Chlamydomonas reinhardtii: one gene and its partner. The protein of the gene in region 1 binds, or shares a complex with, the protein of each later gene. Links are inferred from orthologs where the notes say so. Each region holds a gene or a part of one and is shown on either strand. Other genes may lie near its edges.

The links.
Region 2: CHLRE_06g278225v5 (region 1) and CHLRE_08g364450v5 share a complex: the UniProt entries of both Arabidopsis thaliana proteins name them as parts of the natA complex. The link is inferred for Chlamydomonas reinhardtii from reciprocal best matches to the Arabidopsis thaliana genes EMB2753 and AT5G13780.

Annotation. Positions count from the first base shown.
Region 1 is NC_057009.1:4,133,701-4,137,092, reverse strand, and holds the end of CHLRE_06g278225v5 (uncharacterized protein), read right to left. Parts: intron 3,184-3,392; coding exon 3,065-3,183; intron 2,863-3,064; coding exon 2,778-2,862; intron 2,447-2,777; coding exon 2,263-2,446; intron 1,997-2,262; coding exon 1,741-1,996; intron 1,538-1,740; coding exon 1,324-1,537; 3' UTR 683-1,323; downstream 1-682. UniProt on the Arabidopsis thaliana protein: Auxiliary subunit of the NatA N-alpha-acetyltransferase complex. Required for male gametocyte development, embryogenesis, suspensor development and the formation of the quiescent center (QC) in the root meristem.
Region 2 is NC_057011.1:1,440,686-1,445,030, forward strand, and holds the start of CHLRE_08g364450v5 (uncharacterized protein), read right to left. Parts: upstream 2,945-4,345; 5' UTR 2,750-2,944; coding exon 2,685-2,749; intron 2,549-2,684; coding exon 2,524-2,548; intron 1,922-2,523; coding exon 1,830-1,921; intron 1,493-1,829; coding exon 1,392-1,492; intron 1,205-1,391; coding exon 1,102-1,204; intron 844-1,101; coding exon 687-843; 3' UTR 1-686. Other genes in the region: CHLRE_08g364501v5 (uncharacterized protein), read left to right, coding at 3,091-3,192, 3,424-3,478, 3,768-3,820, 4,102-4,345. UniProt on the Arabidopsis thaliana protein: Catalytic subunit of the NatA N-alpha-acetyltransferase complex. Required for male gametocyte development, embryogenesis, suspensor development and the formation of the quiescent center (QC) in the root meristem.

The DNA of each region.
Region 1 (3,392 bases):
ATTGTCGCTTTTTAGCAGCAATAGGCTAGCCGGGCTTATGTGACTGAGCTCCAGGAAAGCCTTGGACTCTAGAGAGTCAGAGCACGAGTGGTGGCGTGCTGCTGATAGCAGTTTGCAGTCGGCAGCTTTGCCGGCGTAAGAGAGCGGTGAGGTTGAGGTTAGCAGCGATGGGTGTGTGCGCGCGACGGGCGTGTGGGCGCCATGACTAGGTGGTGCCGTTGGCGTGCGATTGCTTGCACACAAGTGGGCAAGTCAATGAGTCATTCCCGTCTTACTCTGTACCTGGCAGGGAGCAGTGTGCGCGCCGGCAACGTACCGTAAGTGTCAATCTTAGTGTAAGGTGAATGCTGTTTTGGAGTTCTGAGATGCCGGGGTTGTCCCCCCCCTCCCTTCTCCTTGAACGGCTCTCCCCCCCCCCCCCATGGCTTGATCCGTCTCTGTCAATTTCGGAGGATAGCGAGGTGCCAGGCATAGTGCCAATCACCACGCATCGCTGTCAGGGCTGGATTACCGGTACGCGTGGTGGGCTGCAGCGTACAAGTGCCGGGCTATGTCCGGCGTCCGAGCCACCAGTATTAGATTGGCATCGTGACGTGGCCTTGCCTTTTCCCCTGCAATCTGCCGACGTTCGCTTCGTTTCACCGCAGTCCGGTGACTGCTGCAAGGCTGCAACTATGCATGTTAGAGCGCGTTCTTACACGCAAGGGCGGGTGCCGCTTGTGGCACTTCGCGTTCCTGCCCAAGTCGATGGACCGCGGCGCTGCCCGGATGGGTAATGCCTGCCCGCTCCGGTTGCGTCCGTGTCCCTGATATGCCAGAGATGAATGCGCACCAGTGCATTTTGAGGGCCGCACGCTTCAAAGCCACCGCCAGCGCTTCGCAAAGCCACACAGGGCTGGCTGCGCGGTCCGACATCGGCACCGTGACAGTCTTTGTTGCAGCCGCAGCCGCCGCACATGCCGAGCTAACTGTTTCGTCCGTAAGCACACTGCACAGATGCGCCTATCTGGTCGCAAAGCCTAGCTGGTCGCAGAATTGCTGTAAATCAACCCCGTCCACTCCCCATTCGCAGAGGTCAACCCTCCGCAGGTGTCAACCGCAAGCCAAGTCCGCCCCGCTGCCGTCCCGCTCAGCACCCCGCCCACCCTGCGTCCAATCACCCACACGCCCACACACTATTCTCATGTGCTCTCTAACACACCCGAGTCCCGCAGCCCGACCGTGCTACAACCCGCACTCCTGCTGCTGCTACAGCCGCCTGCTCCTGCTCCTACAGCCAGCCATACCCGCTGCTGCTCATGTTGCAGCTCCCGGTCCGGCTGCTCAGAATGATAGCTTGCCGAACGCCTCCCGCATGTTCTCAAAGTCATAGCTGGGGTCCAGCGCCATTTGTTTTGACCCGCCGAAGTAGCGCGAGTGCGGGTACGCCGCAGCGCAGCCCGCCCGCCATTTGTCCGCCGCCTCGGCCACGCCCCACTCGTCCCGCAGCAGGCGGTGCACCTCTACGCACTGCGCGTGCAGCGGCCGGGAGGCCGGCCTGCGCAAAGGGGAAGCGAGCACGGAGCAGAAGCGATGGTGCGAAGGGAAAAACGGACATGGCCAACACAGCACGGGAAGAAGTAAAAAGCGAGCAGCGGGAACAAGGGGCTGTAGCCAGCGTGCGCCAACCAACGCAACGAGGCTACGCAGGGGCCAATACGCACGCGAGAGGTGCAGGCCTCGCAGCACACGCAAACGCACCCGTACTCCGCCGCGCCCGCCGCCACGTGCGCCGCCGCCGCCGTCCGCGCCGCCGCCGACGGCGCGCTGCCCCCCGTCTCCGCCAGCGCCACCATGGCGCGCGCCGCCGCAAGCCGGTGGTCCAGGCTCTTGGTGCCGTGCGCCGCCCGCCAGCGCCCCGCAAACGCCGCCGGTGTGACGCCCGCGCCCAGGAGTTCAGCCAGGCCCGCGCCCACCACGGCCTTGACCACCTCGTTCTCCGGCGGCGAGGCCGCGACTGTGTGGGCGGGATCGGACGTGCGTGAGTTGAAGTGCTTGACGAACATGCAACACGTATGCGTGCATCAGGGACTTGACACGTTGCGGGACACAAACACGGAGCGATGGCGAGCAACCAGCCGCACCAGGTAGGTCCCACATCCACCCGTCCCACATCGGCTGCAAGCAATCACCCGCCATCCCTGGCGCCTGTCCCACCACGACCAGCACAAGCACGCAAACAACGCCCGCGCCTGCCATACTGCCAGCCTCGGCATCACTCACATGCCTGCGCCAGCCGCACCAGCAGCGCGTGCACCTCCGGGTGGTCGGCGCCGCCCGCCGCCTTGGCCTCCGCCGTGGCCGCCGCGTTGCGCAGCGCCGCCAGCGCCACCACCTGCCGCCCCCGCCGCAGCGCCACCTCCGCCGCCAACACGTGGCTGGACAGCCGGCTGCCCGCGTGCTTGACCTGAGCAGGAGCAGGAGCAGCCGGCCGCGAGGGCAGCAGGAAAAACGAGAGGGCAGGAAAAAGTGAGCAGCCTGCATGCTTCCTCCGTGCGGGCGCTGCCGGTAGCGTTTTCTACCAGGCAGGAAGGGCTGGGGTTGTAGATACCAGCCCGAAATGAACCGAACCCAATGCAAAAGGGCGAGGAGGAGAGTGTGGCCTATGCTTTGACAACGCAGCGGCGCTCGACAGCAGTCCCCATCCCCGAAATGCACCGCTTTCCCAGCTTCCCAGCAACCCAGGGGGCTTCACCAGCCTGCCTCCGCCGCGCCATCCCTCGCCTGCGCTGGCTCACCAGCATCTCCACCAGCTTGGCCGCCTCCGCCAGCGGGTCCGCCACCGCCGCCAGCTTGGCGCCCTCCGGGTCGGGGTCGGGCTCCCTGGCGGCCGCATGAGAAGGGTCTAGTAAGTGACCGCTTTCATGTGCGTGCGTGAGCGTGTGACAAGACAGGCGAAGCAAAGGCGTGTTCACGGGCCTAGCACCAGCAGTCGCGCAGTACTCCTGATCTGCGTGCCCGAGAGCGTGCCGGCCCAGCCGCAGCCCCAGCCTACTAGGCAGCCCGCACGGCCCTGAGTCCGCACCTCTTGCTGGCTGCCGCCGGCTTCTTGCCGCCCTTCTGCGCCGCCGCCTTCTCGCGCTCCTTCTTTTCCCGCTCCTCGCGCTCCTTGTCCTCCGCCGCCTTGCGGGCCTTCTCCTTCTCCTGTGCAGCGGCGCGAGCGCGGGGCGGCGGGATGGGCCGGGTCAGGCACGGCACGGCAGGAGGCAAGCAGGCGACTGGCGGCTGCGCAGGAACGCGTCGCCGAAGCGGCTGGGGCCAACCTTAACCCAACCCACGCCTTCGGGTACGATCCTCCTTATCCCGAGCCCCACATCCCGTCCTCCCTCCCTTTCCCCCCTCCTCCCTCCCTC
Region 2 (4,345 bases), on another chromosome or scaffold:
TGTACCAAAGCCGTGCAGAGCCGTGCAAGGCGCCTCCTCCTCTGTCGCACTTGGCCACTTCCCTGCCCCCACCCTCATCCCCATGCTGCAAACTCTGTCGCCATTCCAGCACCCCATGCTGCCTCTCTGCCAAGTGCCAACTGCCCAGCCTGCACGCCGCTCCAGCACACACTCACACTCACGCATGTCGTCTCTAAAGTCTAACCCACGCTTTCGCTCGCGTAATCCGTCACTCTGCCCCAACATCATTGTGCAGGCCTGACTGCAAATCTGCAATGCCGAGTCACGCTGCCACTGCCAGGCAGCGATGCCGTATCGTAGCGCCCGTCACCCGGCGCCGGCCCCCGGCAGGAGGTCATTTCCCCGAATTCCCCCCTCTCCATTCACTCCCACGATCCACTCCCACGATCCACTCCCCTATACACCGCACCCCCACGCCACACACTCCCGTGCACGCCCCCGTGCTTTGCCGCCCCACAGCCGCTCAGCTTCCGGTGCCGCCGCTCAGCCGCACCGCCGCTCAGCTGCTTGCGGCGGCCGCCGCGGCCCCGGGCCCCATTTCCCGCGCTGCTCAACCGCTCAACCGCCTCTCAGCCGCCTCTCAGCCGCCTCTCAGCCGCCTCTCAGCCGCCTCTCAGCCGCTTCTCAGCCGCCTTTCAGCCGCTTCTCAGCTGCCTCTCAGCTGCTCAGCTGCTGGCGGCTGTGGGCGCGGGCAGTCCGGTGGCCTGCGCCGTGAGCGCCGCGGCCTTCTTGGCCAGGGCGGGCGGCGCAGGGCCAAAGTACTTGCGCATCTCGTAGGCGTCCTCACCGTCGGCGTAGTACTTGCCCTCGATGTCGTAGATCCTGTTGAGTTTGCATTTGCGGGGCGGGGGTTTTGACTTGGACACGGAAGACGTCCTCCCCGTCGGCTTCGGGTTCCGGATCTCGGCTACTTGGGCTTGGACTGGAGGCCGCGACCCCCGATGCCGATCCTCGACATCGACCCGGACACCCCGCCTCTTCACCGCGACACACACACACACACACACACGCGCATACACACACACGCACACGCACTCAGCCAGCCCCACACACACCACGCCCGCCAGCCAGCCCACTCACTGGTAGCCCAGGGTCTGCGTGTACAGGTGCACGGCCACCTTGTTGGTGACGCGCACGTGCAGCGACACGTACTGCGCGCCGAACACCTCCTCCATGGCCTTGTCTGCAGGCAGAGGGGGGGCGGGAGAGACAGCGGCGGGTGAGGGAGCCACTACAGGGGATGTTGTGCCGACACCCTTCCCAGTCAAAGGAATAAACTCGCCCCCCCTCCGCCTCGGCCCCAGCCCCGCAGCCTCGCCCCTCGCTCGCCCCGCCAACACCTCCCCTCCCTCCCCACGGCTCGCACTCACGCGTGGAGCTCATGAGCTTTGTGGCCAGGCCAAGTTTGCGGTGCGTGCGCGCCACCGCCACCGAGGTGATGTGTCCGTGCTGCTCGCTGGCCTCCTCCTCCCTGGGGTGGAGGGCGGGGGGGCAGTCGGGTGGGGGTGGGGGGTTACATTCATGATTAGTTAAGGAAGTGGTGGGGGTGGGGTGGTGGCGGGGATGGGGTGGTGAGCTTGCTGCGTTTGGTGGGGTTGGTGGGGTTGGTGAGGCGTGTCGCGTAACGTAGCATTTCCAGTTCCCAGTTCCTGTAGCCCCCAGCACCCCTGTGCTGCCACTGCTCAGATCTTTGGCCAGCACGTATCTCCCCTCCCCCTTATGCTCGTATCCTCCGCCTGTCACTCAGATCTTTGGACAGCACGTATCTCCCCTTCCCCTTATGCTCGTATCCTCCTCCTGTCACTCACATCTTGGCCAGCACGTATCCCACAATCTTGCCGTCGTAGTCCTCCGCCACTTGCAGCAGCTGGGGCCAGGACAGGATGTGGTACAGGTAGTACTGCAGGCGAGTTGGAGGGGGAGTGGGGGAGGTGAGGCAGGCGGCGGAGGCGGCGGAAGTAGGCGTGGGGGGGAGGTGGAAGGGGAGGTGGAAGGGGAGGTGGAAGGGGAGGTGGAACGAGGGGTGAGGTGAGGTGTCGCAGGCAGCCGCATTCGGCATTCCCCTCCCCTCCCGCCTGCTCCTCTCTCCACCACTGGCCTTTGTAGCGCGCGTGGGGCTAGCGCGGCGTCATCAACTCTGAGGGCTGAGCTGCAGGCTGCATGCCCTGTTACGTGTTAACCCACTGGGGCTGAGGCCGACTGGCTAACGCACTGAGGGTGCAACCGCGCCCTGGGCTGATTGATACACAGCTGTCTGCCAGCCCCCCATGGAGGTCTCATCGAGAGGTCTCATCGTGAGGTCCCATGGATGTTTCATAGAGGGTTGTGCTGCCTCCTGCCTCGTGCGTAGGCGCACAGGAGTCTCGCTGCTGCGAGCACGCCCCACCAAGTCTCGGCGTTCTACACGTGTGGGCATAGGGTGCCGTCCCTTGCACAGCCCCCAACAGCGCTGTGCTTAATTACACCGGCCTCCCGCAGAAGAGCCTCCAAGGCAGCTCTTACCTTCAGCTGGTAGTTCTCAGGTAGACTGCGGGACACAGCAGGAGGCAATTGGGGCGTGGGGTTAAGAAGGGTGTCCAACATGGCATGGCCGTGTCAGCGGCTGCGCCTGCCACACGGCGGCCCAGCCGCGCTGGTCCCCGGATGAACCGACGCAGACTCACCACAGCAGGTTGCACCGCTGCATCTGCATTAGGTCGTCAATCGTTGCTGGGCGAATGCAGACCATTTTTCCTCGGGGCGATCGACAACCCGATCAGGACGCGTGAAAGGCCAGCAGCTTTGAGTTTTGTATTTGTACAATTAACGAGACGAAAACCTTGTATTGTGTGGGCACAGCACGAAAGCGCGGCGGCTTGAAGGGCGGGCAGGTTACTAGACTGGACGAAGTTTCAAATGTATACAGGGAAGTATGGTTTGTAGCGAAGGTGTCCCACGAGACTGAGGGATTCAACGCAATCGGAAGGTTTGATGCAGACGCCCTCCCCATGCTATTCTGCGTGCTATGCTGAGCTTTTTCTCATTGTAATACAGTTTGTCATCAAGACATATACATAAAGCAGCAAAGCCATGGAGGTAGACGAGGAGGCTGGAAACTACTCCATCTCCAACATCGACGCACTGGACGACCTATGTTTGCAGCACATAGCGTCATGCACGGAGTCTGTGCGAGTAGGTGCCTTTGCTCGCCGCGGGGGTGGGCGGGGTGTCGTTTCGGCGCTGGGGCGTACCGAAATCCAGCTTTGCTTTCTCCGCAGCCTGCATGCGGGTTTCGCGACAGAAACGCAAAGCTTTTCGCGATGCACACGGAAATAGCGAATCTGCGGGCCCCACTTGCCCAGGGTTCTTGGGGGCCTGCTGCTGACACGGGGGTATGTGGCCTCTCTCGCCGTGGCGTTGCAGGAGCTCTTAGGGCTGGCTGGCACCTGCAAGCGCCTGAAAGCAATTGTGGACTCAGGTGGGCTGGGTTGAGAACCTGTCACAGTGTCACCCGCGCCAGGAACCGCCGTTGCTGCGAATCGTGCTGTCACAGCCCTGCCCCTGCGCCTGCCCCCCCACCCCACCCCAAACCGAACCAAACCGATGAAAACCCATTCCTGGTTGCGTCTGCATGCCTGTGGCTTGCTTGACGTGGTGAATCTGTAATTGCCTGCCTGAGACCTGCTTGATACCTGCCTGATACCTGCCTGAAAGCATGCCTGAACGGCTGCCTGCTACTGCTACTTCTGCTGCTACTGCTGCTGCAGCCGACCCCGCCTGGCAGCGACGCATCTTGGCGGACTTCGGTCTGCCGGTGCAGGTGCGTGTGTGTGTGTGTGTGTGTGTTGTGTGTGTGTGTTGTGTGTGTGTGTGTGTGTGTGTGTGTACTGCTGTGTGTGTGTGTGTGTGTGTGTGTGTGTTGTGTGCGCGGCAGCAAGAGCCAGGTAGCAAAGACAGCCAGCTAAGACGCTCCATGCAGTACGACTTGCAAAGCCACGATGTTTGCCGTATCGCAAGGAGGGCAGTGTGGGACCTTCGGCGCGGGGACGGGCGGCAGTGATGACACACGCCGTGTCCTGCCGTACGCCACCTGCCGTACAGGGCGTGGGGCTCAAGCGGCAGTACGATGTGCTGCGACACGTGGCGTATGGCGGGTCTGACGCCCACGTGCGTCACGGCGGCGGCGGCGGCGGCTCCAGCGCCGCTTCCCGCTCCGGCTCCGAATGCACCAGCCCCACTGGGTTCCTATCAGCAGCAGCAGCAGCAGCAGCAGGGGCAGGGGCTGCTGGGTTTGGAGGCGCCGCCGCCGCCGGGCCTTCGGCGCACCCCGCGCACTCGGTGCACT